2 linked regions of the Caenorhabditis elegans genome follow. The protein of the gene in region 2 interacts with the protein of the main gene of each other region in a biochemical or structural test. Each region holds a gene or a part of one and is shown on either strand. Other genes may lie near its edges.

Region 1 (4,015 bases), on a different chromosome or scaffold from region 2:
TCAAATTTTTTGTCGTTTTTTCTCAAGTTTAAGATTTTTTACGAAAAATGTAAAATTTTTTTCCAAAAAATCTGAAACTTTTTAGTTATCAATTCTATATCGTTGCAAACAAAAAAAAATATATTTGAAGCAAAATTGAGTTTTTATTCTCAAAATAATATCGAAAATCTAACTTCGCTGCCTGTTCGTGTCTGATCACATCACAATTTAACCATTCCATCGCAGCGACATACACTTGTTCTTCAGAATCCACGTATAAATGATCATTTCTTAACAATTCAATTGCATCTTCTAGTGATAGTCTCTTGAAGTCCTCATCTTTGGATACTGCCATGAAATGTTTCTGAAATTTAAAACTGATTATATAAATATGTAAATTTTTGACTTTTAAAAATTAATTTATATTTGAACACTACAGTAATCTTTAAAGGCGCACACGCTTTTGGATTTTCCAAAATCGTTCTTCGTTTTTTTTTTGTTTGAAAATAGTGAAAAATCGAAATATTTCATTTTTCCATTTTAGAAAATTAGAAAAATCAAAAATAAAAATTCTGATAATTACCGAAAAATTCGAACATTCATGTTTTCGATTTTTGATTTTTTTTGAATTTTTCTGTTTTTTTTTTCGATTTTTCGGAAAATCTAAAATTTTCGATTTCTCGATTCTTTGCAAATTGCAAAGAATTGAACTTTTTTGATTTTTGGTTTTCTCTGAAAACTACCGAAAAATTTGAAAATTTTGTATTTTTTCATTATAAAAAATCCGAAAAATCGAAATTATTTGTTTTTCGATTTATTAAAGATCTTGAAAATCAAAAATTCTCTTTAAAGGCGCACATGCGTTTATATCGTACAAAAATCGATCGTGTCGAGACCTGGAAATCTTCTTGACAAAACTGTGATCGTTTTTACCTGTATATAGTCATCAGTCATTTCTGTAATCTTCTCCTCGACGCACATCATTTTACAAAATTCTCGAATTGAAAGTGCATTTGACGGATGAAGACGAGTCAGGAGAAAGTTTCCACAATGTTGCACAACTTCCAGCATTTGGAAAAAGTTTGCTCCTAACATTATTGATTGAACGTTGCCTGGAAACGAAAATCTAAATAAAGATTTCTTCAAACAAAAAAATACTTACTTGTGGTTATTCTCAATTCTCCGGTATACGCAAATGACAGAAGAGCATCCACAGTTTCGTAGTTCATATCTGAATCTGGTTTATTTTTTTTTAGTAAAAATAACTTTCAGAGTTTTACCTTCAATATTTATCTCTTTCATGTTGGCTTCCATCAAATCCAATGTGAACATACCGCGAAAATATGGAATTGTGGCTGCGAGTATTACCTGAAAGCTTGATTTCGGTTAGAAAAAGTCGCATTAAATTGCTTTAAAATTACTTTGTGTGCTGATAGCTTTCGATTTTCAACCAACAAGGCCACATCGCAGAGCTGACATTTCGATCGCAGTTCGTTGAATATTGAGTAGCTTTTTTTATACATTTCATCGAGAATATCGACTTTTATAAAGTCCAAATCGTCATCTGTGTAGAGGGGGATTTTCGCAATTTTATCATGCTTCACGTCAGATGCGAACATTCTGAAATTGAACATATTTTTAAAAAATTCATAAACTTTATAACAGAACAAAACATCTTATATTTATAAGATCTTATTCTCCCACGAGAATGCCGAATTAAAACACGAGAAATGCGCAAACAAGAGAGCATAGAGATTTGAGAGACACAAACAAACATCGCAAAGTACGCCAGCAACCACTCCTTGACGCATATTGATTTTGTGAAGCTAAGAATTCGATTTTTCATTTAATTTTTACAAGGTTTACAAGAGAAGAAATTTAATCAGTTTTCCCACCTCAAAAATGCTTAACTATGATAAAATGGAAAAAATTGGAGAAGGTAAGCTATTCCCTGCCCATTTTTCCAGCCAAATTGTTGACTTTCAGGAACCTACGGAACCGTTTTCAAAGCCAGAAACAAAAATTCAGGAGAAATCGTTGCGTTGAAAAGAGTAAGGTTGGACGATGATGATGAGGTACTCAAAAAGCATTCAAAAAAATAAACTAAAATTCAAATTCAGGGTGTTCCAAGCTCTGCTCTCCGTGAAATTTGTATTCTCCGCGAGCTGAAACACCGAAATGTAGTAAGGCTCTACGACGTTGTTCACTCAGAAAACAAGTTGACACTGGTTTTTGAGTATTGCGATCAGGATTTGAAAAAATTTTTCGACTCGCTGAATGGGTATATGGATGCACAAACTGCACGATCCTTAATGCTTCAACTTCTCCGTGGTTTATCCTTTTGCCACGCTCACCATGTACTTCATCGAGATCTCAAGCCGCAAAACCTGCTGATTAATACAAATGGGACACTGAAACTAGCTGATTTTGGATTAGCCAGGGCGTTTGGCGTCCCAGTTCGATGTTTTAGTGCAGAAGTTGTCACGTTATGGTATAGACCGCCGGACGTGCTTTTTGGAGCGAAATTGTACAATACTTCAATTGATATGTGGTCTGCCGGGTGTATTTTTGCAGGTTTTTTTTAAAAATTAAATTTGCCAATAAATTTTCCTAATTTTTACTTTTTCAGAGATCTCAAATGCCGGTCGTCCATTATTCCCCGGTGCTGATGTTGACGATCAATTGAAACGAATTTTTAAGCAATTGGGCAGCCCATCCGAAGATAATTGGCCATCAATTACACAACTTCCAGATTATAAGGTATTACATGTCGTAGTTCTTTGAATTTTTTGTATTTTCACCTCTACATATTCTTATCAAATTCTCTTAGTTCTCTAATTCCGTCTTCTTATCTTTTCCATTTTACCTGCCACGATTTTGCCGCTGTCCTGTCCTCCCGACTACTATCCGCCCGTGTCAATTGGTGAAAAACTAAAAAAGAAAAAGATAGAAAGAAGAAATGATATTGAGTACTTTGAGCTCAGCTGTTTGTTCGGGTGACGTAATTCATACAATCACGGGCGGCTGGGACAGGACAGAGAACAGAGTATTGAGTAGATTTAGAGAAGCAGAGACAACTGTTCTAGATTTAAGATTGACAATAATTAATTGAATTCCATTGCATTATAGGAACACACAAGTATAACATACCATTTTTCAGCCCTACCCAATCTACCATCCAACGCTTACATGGAGCCAAATCGTACCTAATTTGAATTCACGTGGCCGTGATCTTTTACAGGTAACTTTTTTCCAATAAAAATTATACTTACTCAAACTCGAAGTATTTGCAGAAACTTCTTGTTTGCAATCCAGCAGGAAGAATCGATGCCGATGCAGCTCTACGCCATGCGTACTTCGCAGACACTTCTGACGTCTAACTATTCACTATTGCACTTTCCTACTCACATTGTTTTCTCGCTTTCCCTGGCATTCACTTCCCCCACTGACCCCAAATGAACCTCATTGCTTGCGAAACAAAATCTCATCGTTAATAAACGGCTACGGTTTGAAATCTTTCTGTGGCACATAATTGAACGAAGGGAAAATCAACAACGTTTTATTGTTGTTCGAGTAATTTTAAAGATCAACGGCAAACACAGGTGCAATAACCGAGATTGTCAAACCGAGTCCAGATAAAGGGGCTATCCTAACGAATGTTCAATCGGGGTGTTGAGGGAAAGAATGAGAATTTGAAAAGGGGAAAACTTTAATAGAGGATTTAAAACTTTTTATGTGGCTCGCTTTATTTTTGAAAACTTAACATAGTAGCTAGGTGAACTACTTTGCTAAAACAAGCTACATAACGAGATTTTGTTGGACAATGACAAGGTAAAAATTATCAAAGTGTTATCAAATTTAAAGGAACTTCTGGATTTCGTCGTAGATGGCCAAGACGAGGGCTCCTCCGGTTCCACGGAAGACGTTGGAGAGGGCTCCCTTGAACATAGCGGACATTCCTTCGTTTTGGATGATCTTCTTTGCGCAATCGAGGGTGTTTTTGTAGAGGATATCCTTGCGTCCAGACTGCATCATC
Region 2 (4,892 bases):
TCTCAACATTTTTTAACTTTGAACTAACTTTGAACGGAATTTTCGGCTTGAACTCTAATCTCAAAATTGAAAAGTTTACTTTTTTGCCATCTATTCCGCAATAACAGTAAACGTGAAATTATTCACACTTTTTTCCATCTTTATATACTCTCTCGTTCATCTACCAGTTTTGTATTGTCCATTCGTCCATCACAAATTCCCATTCATCCCGTCATCTGGTGTATTCTTTCCGTTTTTGATACTTTTTTGTCTGTGCCCTGGAAAAGAGTTGGATGGAAAGAGAGAGTGAAGGAAAACGATGGAAAAGAGCAGAATTAGCATAATTATGACACTTTTTCTCTCGCCTCTTCCCTATTTTTCTCAACCCCGCGCTGCTCGAATGAGAAACGTCTCGAATAGGTTTTAAAGCTTCAACTTTTTACTGTTCTAATGTTTTCATTTATTTCCAAGAATTTAGTTGATCATTCACGATTCCCATGGCTTAGGTCAAAAATTAGAAATACTTTGCGGAATTCTATCACAATGCAGTTATATTTTCACATTTTTAGAACTTGTCCTAAAATACAAGAAGTTATCTTTATTTTCAACATCTGGAAAAAATTCGTTTTCAACATCTAAAGCGACAATTGGAAAATTGTCAATTGAAAGTCATTTAGTTAGCGGCTTACATTAATACAATTGTTTGGTTAAACATATTTTTCAAACGCCCTCAAAAGTCCAAAAAGCACTCGATATTTTGGAGATTAGCAAGCACGGCATAAAAGAAACAGCAAAAAAAGAAAACGACACGTGTCATATATTTGGCTGAGAAAGTAGGGATTAGAGTGTCGAAGAAACATGACAAATGAATTGGCATTCAGAAGACGTGCATACATGGCACGACATATTGCTTCGGGAACTCCTTACACTGCATTTTTTGGTTTCCTCAATGTATATTTTGTTTCACGATCAGTCTCCGCTTGTTGTTCTTTTTTCTTATGCTCCAGTGGGAAAAATGTTAAAAACTACACCTATAGTGCACCCATGATGAAAATATCATTCTAACACTTTCCAACATTTTTTGAAAATGTTATATTTACATTAATAGCAATTAATCAGTTTCCACCTATCATAATTGGTCCAATACATTGTTTAATTTTAAGTTCGCTTCAATTATTTACAAGTGAACCTAGAACCTAGGTCTTCGCATTTGCAGCATTGCTCTAAATTAATGAAAAACTCCAATTTTTTTAATTGGCAATTTACCAACATTTTCATTTGAAAGTATTTTATTTAGATATAATAATAATAATAATTTATTACGCTCGCTGGGAGACGTGAAGGAATACAGAATACAAAAGTTATCATTGTTCGCTTGTACTAGAATTGGTGCAGTCGGGCAATTGTTTCCATTCCATTAGAATGTTGTCCTTGTCCTTGCGTTGTCCTTGCGTAGACTCCCCCATAGTGGGCGAGCGATTCCCGAGTGAAAATATGTAGATTTTTAGATATGTAGATATGTAGATATGTAGATTTTTTACTACATAATTGTAAGTCTGTGTAGATTCGAACTCCATGTTGTGTTACAGTACTTCCGAACACGATCTTAAAACTTTTTGAGCATCTCCCATTTTCTCATTTTAGGAAAAAATTTAACTTATAACTTCGAGGTGACAATTGTTAATTCTAAATTTTCCCACGTTAACTCTCTCTCTGTCTGCTTCTCTCTTGTCCCTCTTCTTCATCGCTCTAATTAATTCGCGTGTGAGACGAGAGAAGAGCATCCAATAATCCATGTCCTTTTCCCGCTTCCTCTCTCTTTCCCTCATCTTCCTATCTATTTTCCATCGGACCATGAACAATTCTGTTGCAGGATGTCATCTGAAGCAGTAGCACAAGCCACAGCCGCCACGACGTCTCCTGAACACGGGGTCCCCACATCATCGGCCACGCCTACTCCTCCGCCGAGCAAAGGGGGTGGAGCCGGTGGTGGTGGGGGAGGAGAGCAACAACAAGTCCCATTTCGTTAGTTTTACAAGAGATTTTGAATTAAAGTGTAAACAAATATACCAGACTTCAAGTTTTTTGAGTGTCATTTTTCAAATTTAGATGGTGTGTTTAAATATTCCCGGATCTTCAAAAATCTGATGTTTAGATATTTGAAAAAGCAAGACAAAATCAAATCAGTTAAAAAAAATATGAAAAAAACACAATAACACAGAAAAAAGGCTCTGAAATCCAGATAGGTTCAGTCTGATTTGCCAGCCCTAGTAAGACTATATTAACTTTTCGTAAGGAATTGCTCCTTCGTTTTGGTCAACCTTTCCTCAAATATTTTCACTCGAAGAATAAGAAAAAATAGAGGGGATATTATTGTTTTTCGAACCTTCTCGATTAAAAATTCCCTGTCTTCTCCTCTTCTTCTTATTTTTCCCCGCCGCCGCCTGACCACAAAAATAGGCTATTATTCATATGGCTGGACGTCTTTCATGTTGCCTTCCCTACAAAAATCTATTTTACACGGAAGTATAAGAAAATATTTTAAATATATTGCACTAGGAAACTTCTGTGCACAGAATGAAAATGTATGACATTGGTTATTTATATTTGCTTACTTAACACAATTAAAATAGGAAAAGCTTGTTCTTCAATATATTCGATTTTTTACAGAAATGATCCCTCCTGGTCATTTTTTCGCAAATCCCTTCTTGAATCCGTATATTCCAACAGCGGGTGCTCCTGCTCAGGAGGGTGAAGCTCAACCTCAGATGGTATTCTCTCCAGCTCAATATCAGGAAGTCATGCATCATTATTTTCAACAAATGATGGCCGCGAGTGGAGCACAGTTTCCGATTCCGTTTCCCATGCAATTTCAGCCGGCTCTTCAACAGCCAAGACCTTCTTCTCAGGTTTGTTTTATAAAGCGTTATTTTACAAAAACAATTGAAACACTGTCAATTTTTCATTAGAAGCAGTTTTTAAAACTGGGGTTGATAAGCTTTAAAAAAATGAAGGAAATGACATTAGTCATCAGAAAATGTATGTTTCGCAATTTTGGAACATTGTTGTACAACTAGAAAAGTTGCGAAATTTATTTTTGCAGAAAGAACTATTTTTAGAGCTCTCGAAATTGTTTTATTCACAATAAAAACATGTGAACTGGAAAAACCATATAATTTTCTGATTTGGCGAATTTGCCACAATATAATAACCTAAGACATTACATGCTTATTGGATGTTTGATGATGCATGGCTGACACCCGCTCGAGGCGTGTGAGAGGCGCCTCCGTCACTCTCTGCCGGCTAGAAATTCTAATTTTGATGTAACCTAGTCAAGCTCACAAGAAGTTCACAAATTCTTATTACAAAGTTATGCTTCTGCATTGATGCAGAACAGTATTTGATATTTCTAGACATTGAAATAGATCTAGAAATATATTACCAAAAGCAATGCATTTATGGCTCCCAAAATTCTCATCTGCACTTCATAACCTTCAAGTATTCTCAGGCATCATCATCTCATCGCTCAGAAGACGATAACGGAAGGCAGACAGCTGGCAGTGTTGTGTCCTCTAATGTGTCACCAAATCATCGAGAGGTTCGTTTACGGCAGAGCCCAAACACTTGAACTCACAAGCAAAACGCTGGAAATTAGGCGAAGTGATGACTTGGGGAGCTTCTTCATGTTCTTCCTGTAGCTCTAAAATAAATAAATGTGGTTCGGGAATTTAAAAGATAAAATTTTAAAAAATGTTCATTAAAATATACTTCTAGTTTAGAAATCAAACTCAGTCTTTAATTTTTAGGTGAGACCAGCAGAAGATTCTACGGAAACAAGCGGCGTTGTTCAAAATAATGGTTAGTTGGTTTTTCACTTTTAGAAATTCAGGCCAAATGCCAGAAGATCAGTCATTATCTCAAACGTTTGGCGTACAGTTTTCACAGAACGTATTAAGTTTCCTTCTTCGTCTAGTGGAATGTAAAACTCCAACTTTAAAAATTTCGAATAAATTGCATTTTCCAAAAGTTCTTCAGAAAATCTTCAAAAAAGATCCAGCATGTATCTCATTTGTCACAAGTGAGCATGTAACACGAGAACATTTTGGTGAGAAGAAGAGACAAGAGAGATATCTCTGCGTCTCTTATCATCTCACACTCTCTCTTTTTGCTCAGCCGATTTACTAATTGTTCCATGTCCGAAAGGAGTTGTACGTCTCCCACCATCATGTCTGGACGGAACTTAGAGACCACACGAAAAGTTGAAGGGATTTCCCCTGAACATTTTTCTAATTGTCAATTTTCAAACCTAAATATGTTTCAGATGAGCTTCTTGTACCAACTTCCACGTCATCCGATGTGACAATTGGTGACGTCATCGAAAAATCAGATTCTCCTGAAAATTCGCAAGAATCAGCGGGAGGAGAGGAGAAAAGTGAAGAAAAGCGGAAATTATCCGGTGATCGAACGGATTCACTCATTCGAAAACAAATGAGTGAAATGGAAAAAGAGATAACACGACGATCACAGAATAAAAATATTAAAACGGTATGTCGTTCGGTTTCGGAATTTTGAGAATTAATTCTTGAAAAAAAAAAGTTTTTCACTGAAATCTATGATCAAAGTTCCTAAAGCCAAATGTGAAAAACTCAATTTATGGAGTCACATAGTATGCGCATAGAATGTGCAAGAAACCTCCAACTTTCCCAAAAATAACAACTGTTTTCGAATATTTGGAATATGCCAAAACTTTGACACAAATTTTTGAAAAAACCTGAACATTTTTGGCTGTTGTTTTATTTCGATAGACCTTTTTTCTTTTAGACCTTTCTACATGTTTTGGCAAAATTTCCACTGGCGCTACACCACTTTTAAACAATAAGCATTAGACCATTAGAACTGTGAACTTTAGATAT

The links.
Region 1: of the proteins of lin-10 (region 2) and cdk-5, one has a biochemical effect on the other in vitro, tested with the Caenorhabditis elegans proteins (one study listed by BioGRID).

Annotation. Positions count from the first base shown.
Region 1 is NC_003281.10:13,464,162-13,468,176, reverse strand, and holds cdk-5 (Cyclin-dependent-like kinase 5), read left to right. Parts: upstream 1-1,834; 5' UTR 1,835-1,881; coding exon 1,882-1,918; intron 1,919-1,965; coding exon 1,966-2,054; intron 2,055-2,099; coding exon 2,100-2,553; intron 2,554-2,608; coding exon 2,609-2,739; intron 2,740-3,139; coding exon 3,140-3,220; intron 3,221-3,251; exon of another isoform or gene 3,252-3,272; coding exon 3,273-3,359; 3' UTR 3,360-3,490; downstream 3,491-4,015. Other genes in the region: kel-3 (BTB domain-containing protein), read right to left, coding at 174-343, 913-1,091, 1,142-1,216, 1,260-1,347, 1,401-1,598; ant-1.1 (ADP/ATP translocase), read right to left, coding at 3,838-4,015. UniProt on the Caenorhabditis elegans protein: Proline-directed serine/threonine-protein kinase which, in several motor neurons, promotes the polarized trafficking of synaptic vesicles and dense-core vesicles (DCV).
Region 2 is NC_003279.8:8,116,275-8,121,166, reverse strand, and holds the start of lin-10 (Protein lin-10), read left to right. Parts: upstream 1-1,852; 5' UTR 1,853-1,853; coding exon 1,854-2,004; intron 2,005-2,649; coding exon 2,650-2,888; intron 2,889-3,487; coding exon 3,488-3,577; intron 3,578-3,785; coding exon 3,786-3,837; intron 3,838-4,300; coding exon 4,301-4,524; intron 4,525-4,892. UniProt on the Caenorhabditis elegans protein: Required specifically for the determination of 3 vulval precursor cell fates P5.p, P6.p and P7.p during late second and early third larval stages; required for basolateral localization of receptor tyrosine kinase let-23.